Linked DNA regions of Rhinolophus ferrumequinum. The main gene of each other region encodes a partner of the protein of the gene in region 2 in a complex. Links are inferred from orthologs where the notes say so. Each region holds a gene or a part of one and is shown on either strand. Other genes may lie near its edges.

Evidence for each region.
Region 1: the proteins of PLXND1 (region 2) and GIPC1 are in contact, whole or in part, in a crystal structure (PDB 5V6T), measured with the Mus musculus proteins. The link is inferred for Rhinolophus ferrumequinum from reciprocal best matches to the Homo sapiens genes PLXND1 and GIPC1. Residues at the interface, in NP_080652.2 of Mus musculus: Glu1400, Met1889, Glu1893, Arg1899, Gln1902, Gln1904, His1905, Glu1908, Ile1918, Tyr1919, Cys1921, Tyr1922, Ser1923, Glu1924, Ala1925; in NP_061241.1 of Mus musculus: His61, Glu141, Ala142, Leu143, Gly144, Leu145, Thr146, Ile147, Thr148, Asp149, Asn150, Gly151, Phe156, Lys158, Arg159, Arg190, His191, Tyr192, Glu193, Ala195, Arg196, Leu198, Lys199.

What each region holds. Positions count from the first base shown.
Region 1 is NC_046301.1:47,652,214-47,659,995, reverse strand, and holds the start of GIPC1 (PDZ domain-containing protein GIPC1), read right to left. Parts: upstream 3,045-7,782; 5' UTR 2,846-3,044; intron 666-2,845; 5' UTR 611-665; intron 1-610. UniProt on the Homo sapiens protein: May be involved in G protein-linked signaling.
Region 2 is NC_046300.1:41,540,297-41,548,115, forward strand, and holds the start of PLXND1 (plexin-D1), read left to right. Parts: upstream 1-4,667; coding exon 4,668-5,987; intron 5,988-7,819. UniProt on the Homo sapiens protein: Cell surface receptor for SEMA4A and for class 3 semaphorins, such as SEMA3A, SEMA3C and SEMA3E. Plays an important role in cell-cell signaling, and in regulating the migration of a wide spectrum of cell types.

The DNA.
Region 1 (7,782 bases), on a different chromosome or scaffold from region 2:
GATAGTACCCATCACTGGATCTAGCACACAGTAGGCACTCACTGACTATTAGACAAAAAATAAATTCTAAATGAATAAATGAGTACTGCCTCCTCCGGTTATCTCATTACGCTCAATGATACTAAAAAAAAAAAAAAAAAAAAAATCCTCATTATCACCTCCCTTGGGTCCCCTCCCTCATCATACATTGGGAGGCAGAATGCTGAGAACATGAGTCTGGAATCTGGCTTCACCGCTTAATAGCTGTGTGGCCTTGAGCAAGTGTCTTAAGCTCTTCGAGTTCTAAGGAAATCATACATATGCATGGAACAGTTCCTGGCACACGATATGAGGATTCCATAAATGTCGGTGATTATTACTATTTCCATCTATAAACACAGAAGATACTAACTTCCTCTTTTTACGCAGGGCCCCCACATCCCGATCACCAATTCCCAACCTCCTTATTTCCTCTGCCCACACTTGCTGCCCTGGTTCAGGCTGGCTGCCTAGTCCTCACCTGGGGGGGACAGGAATAACGATGGTGAGGAAAGTGGGTAATTAATGAATTTGCCTTCCAGGCCAGAAAAGGCAAAATGGCTTGGGTTCAAAACCCACCCCTGCCACTTACCAGCTGAGTGGCTGTAGGCAAGTCACTTCATTTGACGAAGCCTCAGTTTCCTCATCTGAAAAATAGGTAGAATTCCTGTCTGTCAGAGAGTGCTTATGGGGATTCAAAGAGATTATGCATGCAACCTGCTCAGCATTTTATTTCCTTAGCAATTTAAGGAAACTGTTTGTATTATTAGTCATTATATTGCCTCCCTCCCTGCCCTGCCCAGGAACATCCCAGTCCTCTTTGCCTGCCAGGGCCTACTCCATGTTACTTCCTCTAGGAAGCCTCCCTGGCTTGCCTTAGCCTGTTGGAACTGCCCCTGTGGTCCAGACGGCTCAGGCCCATGAACTTAATTACATGTTGCCCTGGCACAACTCTTGTCTTCCAGTCTCAGGCTGTTATTAACTTCGTGTCCTATTTTAAAACGTAAACCAGATCGCATCATTCCCCTGCCTCAAATCTTACAAGTTTCCCACCTGACGGGGTAAAAGCTCCAAACTCCTTAATGTGACCCCCGACTCCTGCAGAATTGCTGCTTCAGCTGCATCTCCTGCCCCAGCTACCCTATTCCAAGCTTGGTCCAGCCTCAGAGCCTTTGCCCTGGCTGTGCCCTCTGCCTGATCTTTGCAGGCAGGGCTGGCTGCTTCTTGTCATTTAGGCTTCGGCTCCAAAGTCACTTCCTCTGAGAGCCCACCTTGCCCAGAGTTTCTATCATGTCACCCCCTCATATATTATTCATAGCACTTACCACCATCTGGAGGTATCTTTTTAATTTACTTGTTAGCTTGTTTGTTGCTTGTTTCCCCCACTAGAATGGCAGCTCCCCCCTCAAAATCCTTAGTTTTGACTTGTTCACTATTAAATCTTGTGCCAGTGCCTGGCACAAAGTAGGTGCTCAAAATATATTTGTAGAATGAATGAACATATCTTATATCCTCATTCTGACTGTTCTCTGAATCCCCCAATCCTCAGAACATGCCTGCCGTGGAGTTGCTAACTGCCACCCTCTCCCCACATTCCCAGGCTCTCCTCACCTGTGGGGACCGGAGAAAAAGAGTTTTGGCCTGGGCACCAAGCAGGTTAGTTGGAGTTCCAGCCTCCCTACCCTCTCTTCCTTGGGAAGGGCCTGAAACTTCCTTGGGAAGGGCAACTCCACAGCCACACAGAATGGCAGTGGCGGGGAAGCAGGAAGAGGGGCAGAGGGTTCCTGGGAGCTCACACAATCTCTCAGGGAGGGGGGGCACCACACCCAGGCTCCCCTTTCCAACAGGGGAATGCTTTGGAGAGAAGGGCGGGCGGCCTCTGATTCAGTCTTGAAAAACCGGCTCCTGGGTGTTTCCGGAGAGAACGCCTACTCCCCAGCCTGGGCCCAGGCTTCCTAGGGGGGCCTGGCAGGCACAGGACCCCAGCATCCAGGCTCCCTGCCTATGTCCCCTGAAGACATCACTCTCTTCTCAGGACCCAGGTACACCAGCCTTGCCTTCCAGCTCAAGGGAGAAGGAATACGGGCGCAGTTTATTGCTTGAGCTGCTGGTGTCTGGTGACCTCTGGCGGGGGAAAGAGCACGGGGAGAGAAGCAAAGACCAGCAGGTGTGGCCCACATGGTATGTATGGTGTGTGTGTGGAGGGGTGGGGAGGGAGAGGGTAGCACAAAGTGCAGTAGGCTGAGGAGCTGTGCAGGAACATCTGAGCCATGGAGCCACTGGACATGTAGTCTAGTGGTTGAGACTCCAGTTCTTCACTCTGAGGAATGGGACTGAGTCCCAGATCTGCCACTTATTAGCTGGTGTGACCTTGGGCAAGTCACTCTACCTCTCTGGGTCTGCTGCTTCACTCTTAAAAGAAGTAACAGCTCCTATGAGGTGTTTAAATTCAACGATCCTCATAGTAATTACCTGACACAAAAGTGTTCAATCAATGTTAGTGAGGACGATTTTTTTCATTGTTATTATCGGGACCTCGGTCCTTCCCAAGCCTCCCTAAACCCTGGAAGACTGAGGTGAGGCCAGCTCCGGGGAGGTGCCCCAGATAGGGCTCAGAAATACAGACCCCGCGTCTGTGCCCGCCAGAGTGGGGGCTGTCCAAAGGGGTGCAGGAGTCAGGGGTGCGGCTGGAGACCCCATCCTGGCGGTGGAGGCGTTGGCCCCCTACCCCCAGCAGGAAGGGAGGCGCCCAGCTGGGAGGAGGCCTCCGACATACCCTCGCCCAGCCTAGACCTCCAGCCGCGTCTCGCCCGCGCGTGAAACTCACCTGCGCCGCCGCCGCCGCCCTGCGCGCGCCCAGCTCGGCCCTCCGCAAACTCTGGTCCGGGCCTCTCCCGCAGCCGGGGCCGGGGGGCGGGGTCGGCGCCCGCTCCCAGCCAATCAGGAACGGCCTCCTGCAGCTCGCGGCCAATCCTTGCCTCTCATCCCCGTTCCGGGTGGAGCAGACGGAAACATTCCAGAGGGATCCCTCCGCCTCTCCCGACTCTTCCCGACACCCCGCGGCGCAGCGCAGTGGACCTTCCCGCTCCGCCTAAGCCGCGGCGGGCTGTACCATCGCAGGGCTGCGGGTAGGGGGGAAGCTGCGGCTGGGCCTCGGCCAATCGCGGGGAAGAAAGGAGACCAGCGACCAATGGGAAGCTGCAGACTCTGAACCACGTGCTATTGGTTGAGAGTCGGTACCCGGGATACAGGGTGGTGGGGGACGAGGGGCTGACCGTGGGAGTCAGGTGACAAGGCTGAGTTTCGGGGAGAGGATGCAAACTCCCAACGTCAGGAAAAGCAGACCCTTTAGGAGACTTGAGAAGGGGCCGAGGGCAGCCCCACAATCCAGTCCTCCGCCCCGCCTGTCCCTGCCGAAGCCTGGCAATTCTCAGAGCGGATAAAAAGATGCATTCATTCCAGGCTGGCGGGAGGGGGACTGAGATGAATAGGGAGGGTCCCGAGTGTCCCTGCTTCCTGGGGTGTACAATGGACAAGGGCATTCATTCATTCATTCATTCACTCATCAAATATTTAATGTGCCCCTGCTCGGTGCCAGTCTCTGACTTATCTCTACAGACACACCGGCTAGTAAACTGAATGTGTTCCTGGTAGAGGGAACAGTGCCTGCAAAGGTCTGGAGGCCAGACGGAGATATACAGCACATTTTAGGATAATGCAATATCGTAGGCGCTAGCCAAGCAGTGTGAAAGGGGGCAGTGAAACGGAAGACGAGGGCGAGAGGCCCTGTTCCCTTGTTCCCTTGTTCGTTAGACCAGCAAATATTTATTGAGCTCATACTCAGTGCTAGATTACAGTGGGTACCCACGCAACCCAAGCCTCTGCCCTCAGGGAGCTGAACTTTCAAGAGTCTGTCTCCTCCATCTGATTGCAGCCCGCCCCTCTCCTTTCCCTCTCCGCTCCCTCCCCCCCTCCCCACAGAGCACATGTGTGTGGATGAAACGACCAGGTAATCTCACGATCTCTAGGTTTGGCTTGTAACCATGATTTCTCAGGCAGGAGCAGGTTCAAGAAACAAGACACAGGCCAAGACTCTCCGTTCCCAGGATAGATGATATTTCCTTGTGCTAGTTCAAAGCTGACCACTCAGGCAGCTGGGGCTAGACCAGGACTTCACTTGTGTTCTGGGAACTGTAGATCTTGGAGGCCTCTAACTGCTGCGACCCTTCTCAAGCCTCATTGAATGACTGCGCCTTTGCAGTCCCCAGGTGAGCTGCTGTGAATCCCAGCCCCACCAGGTCCAGAAGAGGAGCAAAGTGAAAGCGGAGTACCGGCCCTGGGCTTAGCTAATGCGGGCTGCGTGGCTGGCCCCACCCAGCTGGCAAACACAGAGATCACCACGGCAACAGGTTCAGCTATTGTCCTTGACTTCCTGTTCTGCTGACCTCTGCCACCCTCACTGAGTCATCAGTTGCCTCAGCTGGGCCAGTGCCCTCTGTGGGACTGTACCCACCGCCCTGGTTGGACCCCGCATCTGAGTTGCCCCCTATACACCTGGAGAAGGCTAGATGGAGGGCTGCGGGGACAGCTCAGTCCTGAGCCTGAATCCACCTGTTGACTGATGAGGACGTGCCCAGGAAAGGGTGAGGGGGTTACCCAAGGGCACAGAGCAGTGTCAGGCACCTCCTCCTACCCTATTTTAGAGCTCAAGAGGCATGCCTGAAAACAGGCTGGGAGACCCAGCTGGTGAGGAGCTCAGATTTGAGTATTGCCTCTGCCCTTCTGGAAAAAGCAAGTTCTGGAATGCCAACTAATACATGCAGAAAGAAAGGTTGAATTAGAAAATCACAGCAGTAGAGGAATTATGCAGCCAGTAGAGGAATAAATAATTCAGGCAAGGCTCATCAATGAGGAAGTTAATATTTGGTCTCAAAGGACCAGCCCACAGGATTACTTTTTAATTATAATGGGGAAGAGGTACCAGTGGGAAAACCTGGAAGTCGCCACCTTCACCAAGTGATCAAAATTAACCACTAGTGATGGGACCGGCTGATGTCACGTGCCCCCTGCTGTGTGGTACTGAGACGGACACAACATCACCTGCAAAGTACTTAGTCCTGCCCAAAGTGGTTAATTGGAATCTAATCATGAAGAGACAACCAGGCATATCCTGACTGAGGGACATTTGGAAGGAAGGAAGGAAGGAAGGAAGGAAGGAAGGAAGGAAGGAAGGAAGGGCACTGACCTGGACTCTTCAAACAGATCTATGTCATAAAAGGCAAAATCAATCCCTTAATTAAATGAATGAATAAAAGTCTGGTGAGAAGTTCTAGGTTGAAGGAGACAAAAGAGAGATGACAACCAAAATCGTTGTGTGATCCTTGATTGGATCCTTGATAAAAATGTCAAAACAAAACAAACAAACAAAAAACAAAAAAAAACCCAGCTATGAAGGATATTCTTGGGATAATTGGGGATATTTCAATGTTGACTGGATATTAAATAATAACATTGTATCCATGTTAAATTTCCTGAGGGTGAGCATTGTATTGTGGTTACATAAGAGAATCGTCTTATTAGGTGTTACAGGCTGAATTATTTAGTGGTAAATTTGTGATGGCTGCAACTGTCAAATGGTTCAGAAAAAAATTATATATGTATAAAATATTTCATATACAATAAAATATGGTATACATTAGTATTAATACATAGAGAAAGCAAATGTGGTAAAATAGTAACAATTGCCACTGAATCCAGGAGAGTGGTACATGTATATGGTATTCATTATATTATTCTTGTTAAATTTTCTATAGCTTTTAAAATTTCAAAATAAACATTGGGGGAAAATACTCCCATTTCCCTCCCATCCCCAGAAGTGACCCTCCAGTGGGTTTAAAAATGTGCACCTTTGTGTTTGTGTCTTTCCTTGAAAATGTGCACTGTTTTATGTGGGCATTCTATTGTATTGGGCTTCTTACTTTTTTTTTACACTCAGCACAGTATTGCTTGTTTTGCACTGTACCTTGAAGATCCATCTGGTATTGCTAATTTCTTTTTTCTTTTCTTTTCTTTTCTTTTCTTTTCTTTCTTTTCTTTTTAAATTGGGGACTATTGGGGAATAGTGTGTTTCTCCAGGGTCCATCAGCTCCCAGTCGTTGTCCTTCAATCTAGTTGTGGAGGGCACAGCTCACTGCACTGGGCCATGTGGGAATTGAACCAGCAACCCTGTTGTTCAGAGCTCGCGCTCTAAACAACTGAGCCATCCGGCCTCCCTTTGACTATTTTCTTCTAACTTATGCTTGATGCTCCATGAGATGCATCCCTCGTATCTTACTCTTTTGTTTCCCAAGGTTGGTCTCCAGGCAGCCTCCAGATCTCCACACCACAGTGGGCAGCCATGGACCTGCCCTTTAGGGACCTGGTAAGATTCTCTCTAGGAGAGAGTCCTGGATGCAGAGATGCTGAGTCACTCAATTGCTATTGAGTGCCCCCCCTCCCCGCAGACTAGCTGCCCCCATCTCACCCACTGGCAGTGTGGAAGGGTCCCATATCCCCACATTTCTGCCAGCTGTTGGCATTTTCCAGCTTTCTAATTTTTGTCAATCTGACTCACTGTCAAGTGACATCACCATTGCTTGTATTACATTTCTCTGATTGCTAATCATTTTGCACATGTCCTCGTTTGCTTGATGGCCTTCTGGATCGCCTCCTCTGTAAATTGCCTGTTCATAGCTTTTGCCCATTTTGCACTTGAGCTTACTATCTTTTCTTGTCTATTTGCATGAGTTCCTCAGAGTTTAGATCTGGACTGTCCAATTGGATTTGTCTAACGTGAATGCTCCGCTCTCATGTAGTTATTGAGGACTTGAAATGTGGCTAATACAAATTGAGATATACTGTTGGTGTGAAATACACACCAGATTTCTAAGACTAAGTAGAAAGACAAGAAGATGTAAAATATCACATCTCATTAACTCGTTTTTATACTGATTACACGTCATCATAATAATAATGTGGATGTTTTGGGCTAAAGAAAATGTATTATTCAAATTAATTTTATCTGTTTCTTTTTACTATTTTAATATCTCTACCGGGAAACTTAAAATTATATATGCTCTTGCATAGTTCTACTGAATAAAGCTGGGATATTGAGCCCTGTCAGTTTCAACAATGATAGATAATGTTTAGATAGAGCTTCCTATATGCCAAACACTGTTCTAAGAATTTTATATTTATTAAAACATGTAACTCCCCTAATGACCCTGTGAGGTAGCTACAGTGTTTCACTTTGCAAATATAGTCTCCCCTTCTGTCATGTGATGATTCACTTTGTTTGTGATATTCTTCATTGGAAGGAAATTCCTAATTTCAGTGTAATAGAAGTTATCCATTTTGTGGTTTGTGCCCATGAAATTTCATTAAGGAGGGCCTTTCTATTCCTCAATCACAAAGATATTCTTTTACATTTCCTCCTAGTCATTCAATGGTTTTACTTTCCCTGTGTCTTTATTCCATCTCTAGTCCACTTTGGGTTGTGGGGTAGCGTACAGTTATAGTTCTTCATAATGTGCACTGCTTGCCAGCTGTGTGCCCCTGGGTGAACCCCATCTCCCTTGTGCCACAGTCTCCTCATCTTTAAAATGGGGATCATCATCATAATAAATGGATATAGTAATTCTAAAGTTGTTACCATTATATTAGGATGAAATGAGCTATTCTGTGTCAAATGCCTGGCAGATAGGAAGTACTCAGTGAACACCAGCT
Region 2 (7,819 bases):
GTGCATCTGAGCCCTTAATGGGGCCGGACCCAACAATATACCTCAGTGGCAGTTGCCAGGAGGATGATATCATTATTGGGGTCTGGGGAGCTCTCTTGAGTGGGGTACAGTTAATTGGTTTGAGGATTCTGGGGGAAGGAGCCCCGTGTTTCAGAGCTGGAAAGTCAGTGGATCCCACACTTCCTGACATGGTGGGCGCTGTGACACTTGTATGTTTTTCCATCCTCATAGCAGCCTTGTGAGGTGGATTATATTCCCCTTTTACAGATAAGGAAACTGAGGTTCAAAGAGAGGTGGTGCCACCAAAGCCACATAGGTGGCTAGGGACAGAGCTGGGCCTGGAAATCAGGTCTCAACTTCAAGGCAAGAGTTAGAAGAACGCAGTAGTCAAGAGCAGGGTTTGGAGGCTGGCAAGCTGTGCCCTGTAGGCAAGTGGTGACACCTCCCTGACCCTCAGTATCCCATCTGTAAAATGGGGCTGATAAAACCCACCTCTCAGGCTGCTCCAGGAGGAAATGGGATGGATAAAGCCCGAGAGAAGCCTCAGTGATGGTTTCCTTCACTATCAAGACTCAGGCTGGGGGTGCTGAGCTGTACCAGAGGATTTTGTTTGCTCTGAGCAGTGTGTCAGGAGCATTTCCTGCAGGGAAAGTGTTCTCTGAGGCCAGGCCCAAGTGACAGGAGGGCAGGAGCCCCCCTCCTCCCAGTGTAGCCCTGGCCCCACTGTTATTTTTTCCAATTGTAGAAGACAAACATTTCCTCCTTCTCACAGTTCTGGTCTGCATAGCCAGAGAGCTGAGGATGGACGGGGCGGGCTGGGGAGTCCCCACCCAGGGCCGGTCTGCTGTCTCTGGGCCAGCCTGGCCACTGACCCCTAGGGTAAGGACCAGGCAAGGACCTGCCCCACTAGAGCCACCATGTCCTCATCTACAAAGGCGCTAGCTTACGTCAACATTTCCCAACTGTCAGGTGTTTTGTACCACCTGGATTATGACCTACTTCATATTTGTCTTTAAGTTAATTTACATTTTAAAAACTTCAATAAATGCATATATCAAGCAAGCTTTACATCATTATTGTACTTGGAAAACCAGTATCATTTGCCAAAACCAGAACATAACTGAAAATATTACAAAGAAAACAAGGAGCTGTAAGTAAATTCTAGAATGCTGATGTCAACAGTGCTGAGCTTGAGACCTTCTCTGTATTAAAAATGGACAATGACAAATGTTAGAGAGGCATTAAAGACACATTAGCTCCAAACGGAGAACTCTCCTTGATATAATCAGAAGGCTTGAACAAAAAACTGTAAAGGGTCTGAATCACAATGTGATATGGGGTTAGCTAGTAGTTAATCCAGGGTTGGTTAATCTGAGTTCGTTAATTCAGAGTTAGCTAATGTTGGGTGCCACCTAACCCCACTTCCCAGGCAGTGTCCATCTCCCCTTGGTTCCCTCTTAAATCTCTTCTGAGAGGACACCCCACTGCATCTCAGCAAGGCCAGGGGAAATGTGGGTTCATTCGGTCCTTCCTTCCTTCCTTCATTCATCCAAGAGTTATCAGCACCTCCTCTGCCCAGCCAGGAGTATAGGGTGGCTGCCACCATGACCCATTTTGGCCTGAAGAAGTTCCCAGCTAATGGGCAGAGAGGAGAAAGCACAGGATCTGGAGACAGGTCTGAGTTTAAATCCTAACTTTGCCAATGCCCCTCAGTTTCTCCATCTGTGAAATGAGTTCAATGATCCCAGCTTTTGTCAGCTGGCTGTGAGGATGGCATGAGATCGTGCAGGGCAGTGCTGGACTCCACTAGCTGCTGTGGGACTCATGACAGGCAGTGAGGCGCTGATGGGCCATTGCTCAATGCAAGGAGAGAGAACTGGTGTTTGCCCAGTACCTGTGATTTGCCAGCACTGTGTTTTCTGGTATGTTATGTTCTTCACATCTCACAACCTCCCAGGAGCCAGTGTGCTATTATGATTGTCCTTGTTTTACAATGAGGAAACTGAGGCTCAGAGAAGGCAAGTGCCTTGCCCTGGGCCACACAGCATTTTGATTTCCAGCTTGTCAGGACACAGACCCTGGCCAAGCCCTCTGCAGTCTAAACTGGCCCTGCATTCCCCCAGCCCAGGGCAGCTCCCGCCCAACACCCAGCTTGGCAGGTATTTTTGTGTCCAAAGCGCCCAGAACCATCTTGCACTGTGCACCAGATTGAGCAGCAAGAACAGAGCATTATCCTCAGGGCTCGGTGGGGGGAGCTGCAGGATGCAGCAAGATGAGCTGGAGACAGGAAGGAAGCTAGGAGGGGTAAGAGAGAGGGAGAGGGGTGGGGATAGGGAGGGAGACAGAGAGAGACAGCCACAGAGAGAGACAGAGAGATACCACACAAAGAGACAGACAGTGTGGAAGGAGAGGGAGATGGGAAGAGACTGGGAGAGAGAGAGAGACAAAGAGAGAGAAAAACTGGGAGGAGCAAGAAGACAGAAACAGAGATGGCGTGGGGAAGGCTAGAGAAAAATAAGACTGAAGGTAGACAGACAGATGGACTGATGGGGGAGGGCTCCACGGAGGGGTGGGGTGAGGTGCATTAGGGCAGGCAGCCTCCTGCACAACTGCTAGGCTCCCCAGTCTGCTCTCATGGGTGGCACAACACAAGCACTCCTTACCGGAGATGGAGGTGGGGTTATCATTCCTACAGGGCTGTCCCGAGTGGCCTCGAGCCCAGGAGGACAGAGTGCCAGAAGCAGAGCCTCCGATTTCCTGTAGCTGAACACTCCTGGTTATCAAAAGTGACCAGACCTGGGGATGGCGGGTGGGGGTGGAGGGGAGAGGCAGGCGTGCTGGGCAAATGCTGATGGCAGGAAGGCAGGGTGTTGGGCGAGGGAAGTGGGGGAAGGCTGTAGGCCTGGCTTTTCCTGCCTACCCTGTGGGGCACAGAGAAGCCCCCTGTCCTTCCTTCCTGGCCAGGTGGGAACAAGTGAGGTGAGGCCAGGCTACCCTCAGAGCAAGGGCCCCGGGGGAACCATGTGACAGCCAGGAGTCTGATGGGAGTTCCCCCTCCAGTTCCGAGAGGCCAGAGTTGGCGTGGGGCCGGGGGTGGGTTGGGGTGGTTTCAAAGCCAGCAGAGTCTGTCTTTTACACGTTGTAGTTCTGCTCCTTGTGAGCTGTGCCTCTCCAGACAGTCCCTTCTCCCCTGCAGTCTCAGGTGCTACATCTGTAAGGTGGGATCTTAACAGTACCAGCCTCAAAGGGTGGCTGTGAGGAGGACAGGAGTCAACTCAGGTAGAGTGCTTGGCACAGAGCCTGGCACGCAAGCCCTGTTTGAGCACCCACCATGGCCAGATGCGGTGGGGGCTCCTTACATGGGCTCTGTGACCTTGAAATCATCACTGCTTGCCTTCCATCCCATTGCCTACCTGCTCCTTCCAGGTGAAAGACTCAGCCCAGTGCCAACTCATGTGGCTGATTTTCCACTAAATCTGGGAGGATTTTAGGTCCTTTCAGAGTCCCCCACAAAGGGGAAGTGCCTCCTGGTGAACAGCGGTGACAGGAGAGCAGCAGCCTACAGGGCCAGGGCCTCACTCTGGGTGTGGCCAGCCCAGGCTGCCCCGCAGCCCGCACAGGCTCCAACAAGGTTCTCTCTTCATTTTCCTGATTCATATGCCTGACCCTTGAGCTCTGTCCTTCTGTCCCGCCACTTATAAAACTCCTTTTATGGGGTTGGGGTTTGGGGGGACAGATCATGCGGACTGATGGGGTGGTGCCACCAGCCTTGCTGGCCCTGGGGGTGCCCAGGCCTGGGGCCTAAGGCCTGGACAGTGCCCCGCAAAAGGGAATTAAAGGGGAGAGACTGTGAGATGGAGAGGTCTGTGGACCAGGGAGGCTGAGAGGCAGCGAAGGGGGGACAGGCAGAGATGGAGGAGAGAGGGATCGGAGGGACGGGAGACAGGCAGTGGGCTCTAAGGGGGCCGAGGAAGCCACGGAGAGTAAGCCAGAGACAGAAAACCAGAGAAGGGAGAGCGAATCCGAGAGGAGAAATGAGAAGAACTAGAGACTGAGAAAAAGAGACAACACGAACGGGGAGGGGAGGAGGGGTGACACAGAGACAGAGACCCGGAGACACGGAGAGACAGAAACAGGGGCGGGTGGGATGGAAAGAGAGGAAGAAAAACAGAAAACCAGCCCGAGAGAGACGGGCCGAGCGGCCAGGAGGGAGGAAGAGAGAAACAAGCGACGGAGGCGGAGGCTGCGCCGGGAAAGAGAGCCACGCCGCGCGGGAGGGTCCTGGAGGGCGCGGGGCGGCCAGACCCACTGTCAGCGGAGCAGAGGCCCGTCGGCCCGAGGGCCGGGCGGGGCCAGCGGGCCCCGGGGGAGCGGGACCGGGCTCTAGGGGAGGTGGGCGGGGGGCGGGAGGGGGCCCGGGGGCGGGGCGCGGCCGGGCGGGGCGCGGCGCGAGGGCGTGTCCGCAACGGAGCCGCCCCCGCCCCGCCCCCGGCTTGCGCGGCTCGGCTTAGCCGGGCCGGGGCGCCGGGGCCGGGGGCGGCTGGCGCGGGCAGGAAGCGCCTCGCGGCCCGGGCCCGCCCCCCGCCTCCTGCCGCCTCCGGGCTCCCGGCTCCCGGCCTCGCCGCGCCCCATGCACTCGCCGTGCAGCGCAGCCCGCGCACGCCCGGATGGCTCGTCGCGCCGCGGGCGGCGCACCCCTTAGCGCCCCGGCCGCCGCGGCCAGCCCCCTGCCGCCGCGCCCGCCATTCCGGGCCCCGCCGCCTTGCCTGCTGCTGCTGCTGCTGCTGCTCCTGGGGGCGGCGCGGGCGAGCGCCCTGGAGATCCAGCGCCGCTTCCCTTCGCCCACGCCCACCAACAACTTCGCCCTGGACGGCGCGGCAGGAACCGTGTACCTGGCGGCCGTCAACCGCCTCTACCAGCTGTCGGGCGCCAACTTGAGCCTGGAGGCCGAGGCGGCGGTGGGGCCGGTGGCCGACAGCCCGCTGTGTCACGCCCCGCAGCTACCGCAGACCTCGTGCGAACACCCGCGGCGCCTCACAGACAACTACAACAAGATCCTGCAACTGGACCCCGGCCAGGGCCTGGTGGTCGTGTGCGGTTCCATCTACCAGGGCTTCTGCCAGCTACGGCGCCGGGGCAACATCTCGGCCGTGGCCGTGCTCTTCCCGCCCGCCGCGCCGCCCGCCGAGCCCGTCACAGTGTTCCCCAGCATGCTGAACGTGGCGGCCAACCACCCGAACGCGTCCACCGTGGGGCTGGTGCTGCCTCCGGCCGCTGACGCGGGTGGCAGCCGCCTGCTGGTGGGCGCCACGTACACCGGCTACGGCAGCGCCTTCTTCCCGCGCAACCGCAGCCTGGAGGACCACCGCTTCGAGAACACGCCAGAGATCGCCATCCGCTCCCTGGATGCGCGCGGCGACTTGGCCAAGCTCTTCACCTTCGACCTCAACCCTTCCGACGACAACATTCTCAAAATCAAGCAGGGCGCCAAGGAGCAGCACAAGCTGGGTTTCGTGCGCGCCTTCCTGCACCCGCCGGACCCGCCGCCGGGCGCCCGGTCCTACGCATACCTGGCACTCAACAGCGAGGCGCGCGCGGGTGACAAGGAGAGTCAGGCGCGGAGCCTGCTGGCACGCATCTGCCTGCCCCGCGGCGCCGGCGGCGACGCCAAGAAGCTCACTGAGTCCTACATCCAGCTGGGCTTGCAGTGCTCGGGCGGCGCGGGCCGCGGCGACCTCTATAGCCGCCTGGTGTCGGTCTTCCCCGCGCGTGAGCTGCTCTTTGCTGTCTTCGAGCGGCCCCAGGGGTCCCCTGCGACTCGCGCGGCTCCAGCCGCGCTCTGCGCCTTCCGCTTTGCGGACGTGCAAGCTGCCATCCGCGCCGCGCGCACCGCCTGCTTCGTGGAGCCCGCACCCGACGTGGTGGCTGTGCTCGACAGCGTGGTTCAGGGCACCGGGCCGGCCTGCGAGCGCAAGCGCAACATCCAGGTACGCCCAAGCGATGGGGGTGCGGGGGACCAACCCAGGGCTCCCGAGGGACAGCGTGCGGGTAACTCGGCGGGTTGTGCGCTGAATGGGTCACTGGTGCGAGCGTGTTGGGACCCAGATCTGCGTGTGTGGGGACACAGGTGTGTACTCTGGGCCACGGGTGCATTTGCGGGGACCTAGATATACTTCCGAGGATACATGTGTCAGCTGATGTGGGCGCTGGGGCGAATATGGTCCAAGTGTGCGGGTACTCAAGTGAGTGCTAGGTTACAGGTGGGCATACCTAGGTGTGTGGGAGGGGCCCAGGTTGCCGATGGGTACCCAGGTGAGAGCGCTGAAGACAGCCAAAGATACATATACAGCTCAGGTGTGCGTCTGGGGCCTCAGAGGCAGCAGCACAGAACGCACAGCAAGTAAGTGCGTGTCTGACCAAGGACTAGGGTCGGTGGGTGCCAGGGCCAGGAGGGTGGAGGGAAGTGAACAGCTCTATGTGCAGCACGGGTATGCAGGGTGCAGGAGATGGCAGTGGGGCTCAGGAGGGAATGAGGAGGGGCCAGGTGTGAGGGCACACCAGCTGGATGGCAAAGGGGCCCACGTGCCCGCCTGGGTTGGGGAGTGTCAAGGGGTCAAATTGGAGTAACTGTGTGTTTTGACATTGTGGGGACATGACACAAGGGTGCAGGAGGAAACTGTGTGTGATTCCCTTTAAGGAAGCCTATCTACAAGCGGTCACTTCTCCAGGGGTCCTGGGAGGTGGAACCCTGCGCCTTTTCCATACTCTACTTTCCTGGTCTGAATCTGGGGATTTGAACCCCAGGCTTCGCCCTAGGAAGCCCCAGCCTCTCCTTCCTCAAATGCCAAACTCAGACCTCTCCTGGTGATTAGGGAGCCCTGCCTTATCCCTTCTCGGTGGTCCTCAGGCTGTGGCAAGAATCTCATGAGCTTAATTATTTTCCTGTGGGTGTGCCCAACACTGGGGCTTTGAGAAAACCCAGATTCCTTCTCCTATAGTCGGGCTCCCACAGCTACCCACCACCCGGCTGGCTGGCTGCCCTGAAAATAAAGGTCACGGTGGGTGAGCAGAGCAGACTGTCCCAGGGAGCAGCTCTGCCACCCGCAGGGGCCAGCCAGGTCAGGGCAGGCTGCCCAGTGCTGTGGTTGGGACATCTACCATTCCCCTCCCCAGAGCCATATCCCCCAATGGGCTGTATTTGAGAGGGTGAGTTTTGTTTCAGGACTAAAGGAGGTGAGTGGGGAGTCAGCCCCCCTCTACGGAGGGAAGACCCTGTTGGAACTAGAGACTTCCTTGGCCTTTCCAGGCCCCGTGTGTCCATCCATACTGTCAGCGTGAGTCTGTCCTCTTGGGCGGCTGTAGTCTCCTCCTCCCCCCTCTGGCAGGAGCCGTCCTGGTTCCCACGGTCCCTTATTCTCAGCCTGGCCTGGTGCAGTGACTCACTCTGCTGAAGGGGGCTGGGGCTTCCTTCTCCTTACTGGGACAGGGCCTCTCCAGGGACACAGCCCCAGGGACAGAGTGGCCAAGGGCCTCCTCCTGAACCCAAGGCTGGGCAAATTCTCAGCCCTCCTCAGCCACTTTCCTGTATTCCCCCCACCTTTTCCTATACCCAGCTGTGGGCCCAGGTCAGTACCACTGGGCAGGATCTCCCAGATGTGTCCAAGCCCTCGGGATCTGGGCCTCCGGCACAGCTGAGGGTGGGGTGGGGAGGGTGGTCGTTATTCTTGCTCCAGGCTATTGCCAGCTCCCAGTTACAGGCTAAAAACTTGGACTTTGCACCCCAGGATCAAACCCTACTCTGTCACTTCCCAGCTGTGTG